Drosophila melanogaster: one gene and its partners. The gene in region 3 interacts genetically with the main gene of each other region. Each region holds a gene or a part of one and is shown on either strand. Other genes may lie near its edges.

Region 1 (3,756 bases), on a different chromosome or scaffold from region 3:
CGGATTTGTGTTATATCCAACTGGAATCTAGTTAAACAACAATTTAAAGATAATAATTGTTTATGAAAAACGCTATAAGTAGTTAGTACTAATATTAATTTTATTTTCCTTTTTTGGATAAAATTTCAGTTCTACATATATAATAATATTCATGTTATTTAAATAGGATTTTCGATTATATTTTTCATTCTATTTTTGCTTTCTTTCTTTCTTTCTTTCTTTTCAATAAAATATTAAATTTTATATACATGTATTGAGAAAATATAATATTTACTTTACTCATATTCTAATTTGTATTAAATATTAAAATGAATAAAAACGTTTCAACCTTCTCCCGATTTCATGTGTATCTTATCCATAACTACGTATATATGTACTTCAGAGATGCAAAAGTATCTTAGTATCTCAAACTGAATTTCGTCAAAGGAAAACACTTACCCAAAAAGCAACAACGATTGTGTTGCAAGTTGACTGCTGCTGCTTCTTCTTCTTCTGTTACTTTTTTGCCTCCTTGTTCTGTATCTCTTGTTGTTGTTGTTGTTATTATTGTTGTTGTAGGTCCAAGATGCATAGATGGCTGAGCGGAGAGTAAGAGGGTGCGAATGAGACAGCGATAGGGAGCGAGTGAGAGAGCAAGCGAGTTGTAATTGAATGTTTGGCTCTTAATTAAAACAAGAATTGTGACAGCCACGCTTTAAGGCGGGGGGCGTGGCAAGCCCAAGCCTAAGCCCACTCCCACACACTCTCTCTCTCTCTCTCTCCCTTGGTTATTGCTTTTCTTTGCTCTCTCTCTTCGCGTGCCCTTTTTGATTATCTAATCCTTGGGGCAGGTGACATTTTGCAACTTTTGGGGAAGCGGAAGTTGTTGCCGTTTTCTTGTGCTGCCGCCGCTGCCAATACCGTTATCGATTTTTTGCGGCAGCTTGTTGTTGTTGTTGTTGCCGCTGCTGCCGCCGCCGTAAGCCGAAAAAAGGCGTGTGTGTGGCAAAGAGACAGAGGAACGTGGAGAAGAGAGGGAAAAGCCAGTGGCAAAGCGCATCCATGGACGGCACACACACACACACACACACACACACGCATTGGCATGATGAGAAGAGTGGGGGAGTGTGGAAAACGGGGAGAGAGGAGAGCCGAAAAGGCCAAAGCGAAACGAGTTAAGACGCAAGACAATGCAGATAAAAGCGGCAACAACGACAACAACAAACACGGCCAAGAACGGCAACAACAACCACAACAGCAGAAGGCGTCGCGGTGCGCTCTTCTTCTTGCTCTCCTTCTTTATCATCTGCTGGCAATGCATTCGTGTTTTTTGTTGTTTTTTGGGTTTTCGGTTTTTCTTGTTGGTTTTCTTTTATTATTATTTTTTTTTTTTTTTTGGAAAACTTGAATCTTTACCAGCTGCGTTTGGAGTTTTCCTGCCACTTCTTAAATGCGCGCGCGCATTTCCCACGACAAAAAGAAAACAAACGACCAGCGAGACACACAAAGTGGCACTTTATAGAACGAAAAAAAAAGTAGAATGTGCAAATACACCAGCACCGAAAAAAAAAAAGAAGAACAACAGTTAAGATCGCCGCGTTATTTAACCGCTTTTCCTTCCACACAACTCACGACGCGATTTCTTCGGATTGTTTGGCTTGGTTTGTTTGGTTTGTTCGGTTTCTCTTCGGCTCCGCTCGCTTCGGATTTGGTCTGTTCTCAGCAAAGCGTTGCAGCCAAACTAAAGCGTCCGTCGGCGGTTCGTAGCGAACCACTGCGAACCGAGTGGCACGAAGCTGCACGAAGTTGCACGAAGCGTTCGTCGGCGTGCAGCGAAAGCACTATCGTAGAGATGGGGCGCCACTGCTTGCGATAGCCCAATCGATATATCGTATATCAGCTGGTGTGATTTTAAATCCTATTATCAGCGTTATTTACAATATATACCAATTTCAAATTGATAGATGGAGATCGAACGTTGTGGTTTTTAAAGTTCCTGATCTTAATGCGTACATGTTCACTTATATGCAACTTGTATGGCGAATAAAAGTTGAAATGCAAAAGCTTTCAAAAGTCTATCGCCATGTCTTACATATTATCAGCAATCAGCTGGTTTTCTAGGTACTGTGTTATTATAGATTACTTATTGATTTTGAATATAGTTTTTAATATTAAGTTAAAATATACACCAATTAATCAAAAATTTTAAATGGGATTTGAGTAAAAATTAATGGGCATAATCATAGAATAAGTTTTTTATTTGGTAGGAAATACTAAACTAGAAAATACCAAAAGGCTGAAGAATGGTGGTCAAATGAAATTTCTAAAATAGAAAACCGTTAAAAGGCAATGCTATATTATTTAATAACATAACACAAACTAGTCAATTTTAAAGTTGATTTTTTACGTATTATAACAAAGAATGAAACTAAAGCTTTATAGTTACCAATTAAAAATGGCAGCCCCATTTTATTCACTAACTGCCCAGTTTTCGAAATGAAACATTCAGTTTTGTATAATACACTTCATATAATTTTATGCAGGTATTTATATATGCAATTATTTAACACTCAGTGGCGCAAACAGAAGAAAACCGAAGAATTCGCGGACAATTTGCAAGTCGCTTGTATTTCAAATGTCTCCATAAAGTAATATTGCTGATTCGGCTTTTGGTGCGAATTGTCAACGCACTCCTCGTTTTCTTTCAGTGCACACCACATTTACCATTATTTGTACACTCTTATGTATTTTTGTGGGTTTCTTGTAAATCATTTTGCCGAATATTTAGCTCGTACACACTAAAACTATTAAACTGATTTCGTTTTTGTTGACTAGCATTTAGTTATTTGCTTTTTGTAAACAGCATAAAATGTAACTTTCTTAATTATGTATATGCCACTACATAAACTAAATTATTGCACATCATTTATTTAGGATTAGAACATAGTTTGCCACACGTGCCTGAGTGCGTTGGTGTGGATTTAAAAAGATTCCTGCTGGCTCATCCATCATCTCGCATCCATTTCGATCCACCTGGGATTGATGTCTTTTTGTATTTGAATGATATGTACGCTACGCTTTTGACTAATTGGATTTTTTGGATCGATCGTAAGTATGCCCTAATACTCATAGAGTAAAATTTTGCCATAATTTTCATATTTGTATGCGTGCAGTGATGGGGGAAGTTGTGTCAGCGGCCAAACAAGAGTTTTCTAAATTGAAGAAAGGTACTTTCGAAAATTCCGTTACAAAAATGCTCAAAAATAGTGCATAGTTTTGAAACTTTAAATACTTCTTGTGGCACTTTCGATCATTATCTATGAACTATATTGCAATTATTCATTTAAAAGTGACTTTTCCCATCACCGCATTCATGTGTGTGTGTGTGTGTGTGTGTGATGGTGAGGCGGTTTTGGTGTTGATTTTTTTTTCTAAGTGTAGGGTATTTCGCTGTCGGCTCAAAACAGCAAGGCTCCAACCACGTTTAGTGCCTGGTGGTGTTGCTTTTGTTGTTGCTTCTGCTGCTGATTCTGTTGTTGTTGTTGCTGTTGCTGTTGATGTTGGTGTGTGTGGTACATGCTTGTGGTTGTTGTTGGCGATTTGAGTTCCTCCACTATAATGGCACCATTCTCATCCACCAAGTGATTTAATAGTAAATTCTCAACCTGCTCATCGGACAGTAACTCTTTTGGCTCTGAAGATCTGCAAAGTTAGTTAGTTTTGTATGTAATAGCTTTGCATAGTTAAAACTGAACGAAAAACACAGAACTGAGATTC
Region 2 (3,756 bases), on a different chromosome or scaffold from region 3:
ACTTCGGCATCCTTGATGTTCATTCGAACCCCGGAGCTGCTGAAGGTCAGGTTCCGGCATTCGTTGCTTAGCTGCACGTTCACATCCCGCTCACCTAAGTACTTTCGCATAGTTTTGGGTAGGTTCTCCAGACCGCCTTTCAGCCCGTACATGGCCCACTTCTCCTTTACCGCCTGCGCATACAGCTTGGGCTGTCTTTCGGCAAATAGTCCATCCTTGGTGTCCTTGGTCTTGTTCTTCTCAAAGCGGGAAATGAGTGTGCCCTTGAGCACTCCTCCGTACTTCTGTTCCTTTTCAAAGAGCCCCTCCATCAGGAAGCGCACACTTATTTCTCGCGCGTCACCGGCGCAAATACCGCAGATCATGGGACTGATGGCGTAGTCGGCTATCTCCTTACCAAACCGCCGCTCAGCGAAACTGTAGATGCTCTCATCCTCCAGCTTCGCTTTCTTGCTTGCTGTGAACAGATCGCGAAGAACCGCTTTGTATAGCGGCTTCGTGAAGGGAGGCAGGACGCCGAAGAGACCCTTGGGACTGTTGGGCAGCATGCAGAGCTGTCCCTTGGCATACAGCATTCGGTTGCGTGCTGCGACATGACTGCGTCGAATGGGAGTCACCTCCAGCTTCAGATCCTCCACCAATTCTAGCGTATTGGCACCTGGCTCACCAACTGGGCGTATGGTTCGCGGTCCGCTCTCGAAGATGAAGTTGCGATCCTTGCGATTCTCCGACCGCACCCATCCGCCCACACGGGGCGAGGCCTCGTAGATGGTCAGCGGCTTCCCGAATCGCCGCAACAGGTAGTATCCGGCGGATAGTCCACTCAATCCGCCTCCCAGCACGGCCGTCGTCATGGTCCTTCTGCTGCTTCTCGTTGCTCCCGAATCCCTTAGAGGATTCAGACTAGTTCTGGTTTGCAGACGAAAAAATCTATGCCGGCTTCGATCGTTCAGACCAAAATAAACCCAGGTGACATAACTATCGTTGAAGCTATCGATAAGCTCAAATCCAAAATCGCTGAGCTTGCAATCGATGTTATATGCGATTGAAGAGTTTTGAATTGACAATTCTGCAGAAAATAAAATCAAATAAAGGAAGGGATAAATATTTTATAAAATAAATAGCATTTATTGTTATACTTATTTTGGTAACTACAGCTAACATAATATCTTATAATCGAAACAATGGTTTTAGAATATTTATTGTTAAATTATGTAAAGTTAAATAAAATATAGTGCAATTGATAATACTTAATTTAAGCATTGATACAAGAATACAAATGCATAGTACTTTTATTTGCCATTATTTTATCTCATTTAACATGCATTTGTGCACCCGTCCCAAAAGTATGCAATGAATTTCTTCCGACATTCCTCATACGCCACGTGTGCATCGTGCGGAAGTTCACTTGCACCTGCATCGGCACCATTACCATCATCATCACCATCACCGCGGCACTGGGTCATTCATAGTGAATGGGTTTTGGCGCCAGTTTTGATGAATCGAACGAAGCGTCCAGCCCGCACCAACCGCAGGACTCCGAAAAGCTCCCAAAGACGAGCTTGGGCCGTGCGGAAGTACATTGGGCCACCGATTTCCATGTCGTCGGAGTCGACATCGCGCAGAATTGTATACGCTGCTGACGAGAAAGGTTGGTCCTCGCGTTTGAGCGCGTCGCGTCTTTTATTCTGGGTGTGTGAGTGAGTGGACTGTGTGGAAAAGTGCCTATCGCGTATATGTATATTCACGGGACCCATACACACACACACAGCTGCAGCACTTGGAAATGTGAAAAATTTTCAAGCTGCGTTTGCCAATTACGGGGAAAATTGAGCAAAAAACGTCTTAAAATCCGGGCAATTATCGTGGCCATTTGCGGAACGGCAATTGTGCAAAATTCGGTATCCGTTGAAAACGGGCTCAGTGAACGTGAAAATGTGCCACACACACACTTACAACGCAGGAAATTCAATTAATTAGTGACCGAGTGTGTGTGTGTGTGTTCGCCCATAAAACGGCGATTGTGATTGCGAAAAAAGTGTTGCATACATAAAGGAGCTAAGAAGTGGACCAACGAGCAACACTAAAGGAAAACTCTTTAGAAATACAGTTTTTCGCTTTTTTTTTTGGCACTGCTGCAGGTTTTCATTTAAAAGATACATTTGTTGAAGTCAACACACACGGACACACACACATGCGCATACGGCACAGTTTTTCGTTCGTTTTTAAAACGAGCACACCACAAGTTCCCCAAAACGAAAGGACGAAGGGACCCGACCCGATGATAAAGTCGATGTTCCAGGCCGGAGATACACTTGTATCGTTCCCCTGCCTTTGCCGCTGCTGTCATCGTCAATGTTATTTTTGTTGCTTCCTACTCGTCGTCCTTCGTGTGTCGCAGGATACCTTGGTATATGTGTGTCAGTCAGTCACTGGCCGAGCGTGGGTGTGTGTGTGCGTGCGCCAGGATACGCAGATACCCAGATACCTACAAATGAAGCCACCAAATCCAGGCGAGTTCAATGCGCGGCCAGGACGAAGGACTAAGCTCTGTTTACATTGGCTCACGAATGCCCATTTTCCAAGCCCCCTGTATTTTCCGCCCGTTGGCGTGCCGTGGGAAATTGTGTCGCCTGCTTATTTATTATGAAAATGCAACTTTCATTTGACTCGGCATTTGTCCCGTTTCCATTGTTTGCAGGCACATTAGGCAGCTCGTTAAGCGCATGAAAGTGTGTGTCCTGCGGGTGTGCGAGTGTGTGTGTGTGACACGAAGGGGAACTAAAAACTAGGGCAGTGTGTTTCCGTTTCAACGACATGCCGCAGGCGAAAGAACGAGTCCGTCCGCAGGACAGCAAAGCCTCGCTAATCGGGCAGGAAATGAATAACTTAAAAAGTTACCAATGACAAGTTTGACATTAAATGTATCATATACAAATAACATGCAAACGAAAGTGATAATTGTAAAGCATGTTGTATATTGCCAAAAATTCTAGTTTTTGGTACCACATTGCGTATGCTTAACCAAAATGTGCGACTTTCGCAGGCAAGGAAAAAGCTTTCTGCCCGACAATTTTCGGATTCCCTGCATCGCGCAGCCGCCAATACGCCAGCAGCAATTGTGAGAAATTGAGAGAAATTCTCAGAGAATTCTCCGAGAACTGAGAATTTAAAAACGGCGAGAATAGTGCTGATTTTGCTTTCAAGTCTGCTTCGCATCTTTATTTATTTATTTACTTGACACGCTTGCTTTTCCGGCTACGGAAAATGGTGATACAATGTCTAAAATAATATTAATTTAATAGAATATATATACGAATACAAATATATACGTAATATCATTGACAAATGTCTGCGGTCGTAAAAAAATTAAAAACGCAAATAACGCTGACAGCCTAACTAAAAAATATAATTAATTACCGCGTTCGTCGCGCTGCCTTGGCAAATTAAAAAGTATTTAAATTATCGCTCAACTTAATAAATCTCTTGCAGCTTAACACACAAGGAAAAATTTCGTGGGCAAACAAAGCTAAATAAGTTGTGAAAGGAAACATGAGCAGTGTGACTAAGCGCAGTTTCTAATTTAACCAAATTCCAATTCAAATTCAAAAGAACGAACAACTATTGATCAAGACGGCAAAGAAAGAAGCAAACAAACCAAAACGCACAATGAAACTGATAAGCTTAACGCAGCTGATAACACAATGAAACTCATCCACGGATCCGAAATGCAATTATGAAATAATCAGCAAGCCG
Region 3 (3,756 bases):
GAAGTTCAATGTTTTATGCCCACATAAGACACGAGGCACCCTGTACCTCACTGATGTACATATGTGCGTATGTAACTGACTGGCAGACATAACTGCCCACCTTCAGCTGACAGTATATCCGTCCCTTTTCGACTTTGCAATTTTATTTCTTTGATTGCCGGCAATAACAAACATAAAGGTAAATAATTTATGCTACTTTATTTGCATTGCCACCGCAGAACTTTTACCGGTTAAGGCGTGCGCACACTTGGCACGCCGATTTATCTGGGAGTGGTGGGCGTGGCACCATTTACAGTTAGATTTTCCTTTCTTTTTTTCCCGGCGCTCGGAAAGTTCAAGGGTAAGTTCACAAGTGCCGGCAAGTTTAAGGGTGAGAACAAGCCGACAAGAGGGAGAAAGAAAACTAAAAGGGAGGTGGCTGTTTCCCCACGATTTCGTTGCGCTCACAAAACGGTGGAAAATGCCCGATTTTCCATAATATTCGGAAAATGTCGAGAAAATCAAAATCGTCCCACATGCAAACAGTCGTCTGCTGCACACACACAGCTAAACATCATGTGTATGTATGTATGAACATCCGCAAGGCGGCAAGGAAACGATCACACCTTAAATATGTATGCCTGCAGATACATATATGGATATATATTGATACATATTTCTGTATGGTAATATGGACGTACATATGTACACACATTTTGCGTCTGCGAGAAAATAAGCATTAAGCATTGCCCCGCAGATACATACATACGCACATATTTATAGCCATCGAAATATAAAAAAAGCGGTATACCCACACACGCTCAAGTGTGTAAAAATATATATATGTATAGACATGAAAATCCAATGTGTGTGCATTTCTCTTTCCAACATTTCAATTTTTAATCGCTCCATTTTTCCAGCTGCCACTTTGGAGCATTCTTTCGCGATTGCCTTTCGCGAATTTGCCAGTTATGAGTGTGAGTGGCGGCTGAGAAGTATGAAACACTCCAATAAATGAGTAATATCCGCTGCTACCAATGACTAATTTGGTATATATGTATACGCACACATTCATGACCATGTATATGCCCGAATATGGCCAACGAACATATAGGCAAAAAAAAGTGGAAATATATGTATGATTGATATATACACACTTATCTAAATATGTATGTATATACAGATTTCAAAGGAGAGATGCTTATATGATTCATCGAATCGAAGACATTATTTGCACTCCACCTCGCTTCCAAAAGTGCACAATGACCGGCCGCTTTTACCACCGAGTCTGAATGCGAGTCCCAAGTGTACGTACCATTTTTCCTGTAGTTTTTCGCTTTCACAATTCTCAAATTGCTGCTTCGCCGAGTATATATTTTACAAATACTGTTTAACCTTCCGCCTTCTTTCACGAACAACCGGACGAATCAATTTGGTCGGTTATTTCGCACAGGTTAGGGTTGCCAGGCGCCGGCAAAGTATCAACATGCGTCGTGACGCGTCGCGACGTTTGTGAAGCGTTTGGAACGGTGAAATGGCACACTTTCGATCTTTCAAAATGTCAAATATTTTAGGGTGCTTTAAAATACATAGTATAGTTTGAGTTAATTTATTTATTTATATTAACAAATTGCACTATACTTTCGTGTAATAAAGCTGAAGATTTACAGATTTGAATCTTAACACATTCGCTGTTTTGGAACATAGAATATATATACATAGTTTACACTTATAGCTACAATTTATTACTTCAATATCAATTCATCCCAAAGCTAATGATATTCTTTGTTGTATAGTATTGATCTTAGTATTTATTAATTAGTACAACGATTGCGATGAAATTTGTATTTAACAGTTAATATAATATGTTAAAAGCGATATTATTAACGATAAATATATTTTGACTAACAAGCAGACCGAACATTAAGAAATTTAGCACAAGCCACCTTCGTCCTCGGCGTCGTTGGTTTCCTGCGAGAGAGAAAGAGAGAAAATACGAAATTCTTGTTAGCTATTTAGTTTACTGCTTCGCACTGTCCCAAGTCTTCTATCGACAACAAAGGCAGATTCAATCGCCTATCGATAACATCATAATAAGAGCCAAATTTACAAAACAAAAATTGCAAATTCCATTTTTAGAATAAAAATACTCACAGCAGCAGTGTCGCCAGCCTTCTTCTCCATCTGTATACCCTGAGGTAGTGGAATGTTTTTAGATAGAATAGCGTACTCAACATCCATATGTCGTATGAATGGGGATGCCAGCATCCTAGCAGCTAACTCGGGATCCTCGTCATCGAAGGCTTGCAGAAGGGTCTGCAGTGTGGACACTTCCTCTGGCTCGCAGCAGTTTCCCCACTCCCTGAAGGTCTTTTCGGCTTCCACGGAATCCCCGCGAGCCAGTTGGACCATCACCAAGGCCACAACTAGGCGTCCAATTTGTCCGTAAGATTCCGTTTGCTGATTCAAGCTGATCTCCTTTTTGAGCGCATTCGTGGCTTCGTCGTACCTGGAGTGATTGGATGATATAAGCTAAGGATACCCAAAGTGATTCGTTGCAATCATAGGTACATACCTCCTTAGTTTGACCAGTATCCTGGAAACTTTTGATGCATACTCGGCTGCTTGACGGACGGAATCCTCGATCTGTCGGGTAAGTATAAAATTAATAGTTTAAGAATGGAATTGACTAGAGCAGTGTCAAATAGGACGAACCATTATGACTTCTAGAGCATGCTGATAGAAGCGCAAAGCCATGTCAGGATGCTTGGATTCAGTTAACTTGGCGGCTTTATCCAAGGCGGATGCGGCTGCCTCTGGGGAACCGTGCTGTTGATACAAACTCGCCGATTTGTTGGCGTATTCCTCAACTTCGTGTAGCTTATCGGCATCCTTTGACAGCAAAATGATCTAGAAGATGTGCACATTTAGAGGGTTTAAATTTCCTATTAACTTCACTTATATTAACTTCAATTTAAGCTCACCTGTTCGTATGCCTTTGCAGCATGGAACCAAGACTTGTTGTTTTTATAGGCGTCGATTGCCTTCAGAAAACACTCCTTGCTCTTATCATAACTTTTAGCTATTCGATATGCAGTGGCTGCAATTAAAAATGTAAAAGAAAGATACATAATTGTACACCAATATGTGTGTATCTTGCAAGTTATGGATACTTTGGGATAATCGTTAGCTGTAATTCATAGTATTTACATATCTCATTGATGTCACAATGTTTTTATAGATAGATACTCTGGGTGATATTAGTCACTCCTACTTTGTGAAACTCACCAGCTTTGGAATACTCATCCGCAGCACTATCGTAATCAGGAACCCATTTCAGCATGGACAACTTCAAGCTGCAAATAAAGATGGGTGTTATTTGGAAACCCCTTTATAAGGATATTTTTGTTGGGGATACCTCTTCTCGGCCTGCTTCACCAGGTCCTCCGCTTCGGCAATCTTTTTGGCAGCGATTCCCGACATTTTCAACCACTTTTGTTTAGCAGGAAAAATCAATTGTTTACGTTTGAAAATAGTGTGACCGAATGCGAGAAGGAAAATAACAATGGTTCGAAAATCACGGTGGTTTCGAATCTTTGAAAACCGAAAGCAGTACGCATGTCTGAAAATTTCAGAAAAGCAAAGCCTGATTACACCGGGAAAAAAAAGTTGGTCTTATAAAGCAGTTGACTTCGAAATGAAAATGCCATGTATTTACATACATCTATTCATTTTTTTATTTTATCTATGATATTTAAAAAGTAGAGTATGTGTAAC

The links.
Region 1: of sei (region 3) and rut, changing one suppresses a phenotype caused by changing the other (phenotypic suppression), as found in Drosophila melanogaster (one study listed by BioGRID).
Region 2: of sei (region 3) and slo, changing one suppresses a phenotype caused by changing the other (phenotypic suppression), as found in Drosophila melanogaster (one study listed by BioGRID).

Annotation. Positions count from the first base shown.
Region 1 is NC_004354.4:14,824,351-14,828,106, forward strand, and holds the start of rut (rutabaga), read right to left. Parts: upstream 1,724-3,756; 5' UTR 1,612-1,723; intron 1,556-1,611; exon of another isoform or gene 1,396-1,555; intron 578-1,395; 5' UTR 439-577; intron 1-438. Other genes in the region: CG14408 (uncharacterized protein), read right to left, coding at 3,438-3,681. UniProt on the Drosophila melanogaster protein: This is a membrane-bound, calmodulin-sensitive adenylyl cyclase. Inactivation of this cyclase leads to a learning and memory defect.
Region 2 is NT_033777.3:24,660,872-24,664,627, forward strand, and holds the start of slo (slowpoke), read left to right. Parts: upstream 1-1,619; 5' UTR 1,620-1,692; intron 1,693-3,492; 5' UTR 3,493-3,756. Other genes in the region: Ppox (protoporphyrinogen oxidase), read right to left, coding at 1-854. UniProt on the Drosophila melanogaster protein: Potassium channel activated by both membrane depolarization or increase in cytosolic Ca(2+) that mediates export of K(+). Its activation dampens the excitatory events that elevate the cytosolic Ca(2+) concentration and/or depolarize the cell membrane.
Region 3 is NT_033778.4:24,045,372-24,049,127, forward strand, and holds the start of sei (seizure), read left to right. Parts: upstream 1-2,039; 5' UTR 2,040-2,133; coding exon of another isoform or gene 2,134-2,488; 5' UTR 2,489-2,554; coding exon of another isoform or gene 2,555-2,625; 5' UTR 2,626-2,632; intron 2,633-2,694; coding exon of another isoform or gene 2,695-2,889; intron 2,890-2,963; coding exon of another isoform or gene 2,964-3,079; intron 3,080-3,267; coding exon of another isoform or gene 3,268-3,335; intron 3,336-3,397; coding exon of another isoform or gene 3,398-3,462; exon of another isoform or gene 3,463-3,532; intron 3,533-3,756. Other genes in the region: tsr (twinstar), read right to left, coding at 1,295-1,297; gammaSnap1 (gamma soluble NSF attachment protein 1), read right to left, coding at 1,912-1,950, 2,134-2,488, 2,555-2,625, 2,695-2,889, 2,964-3,079, 3,268-3,335, 3,398-3,462.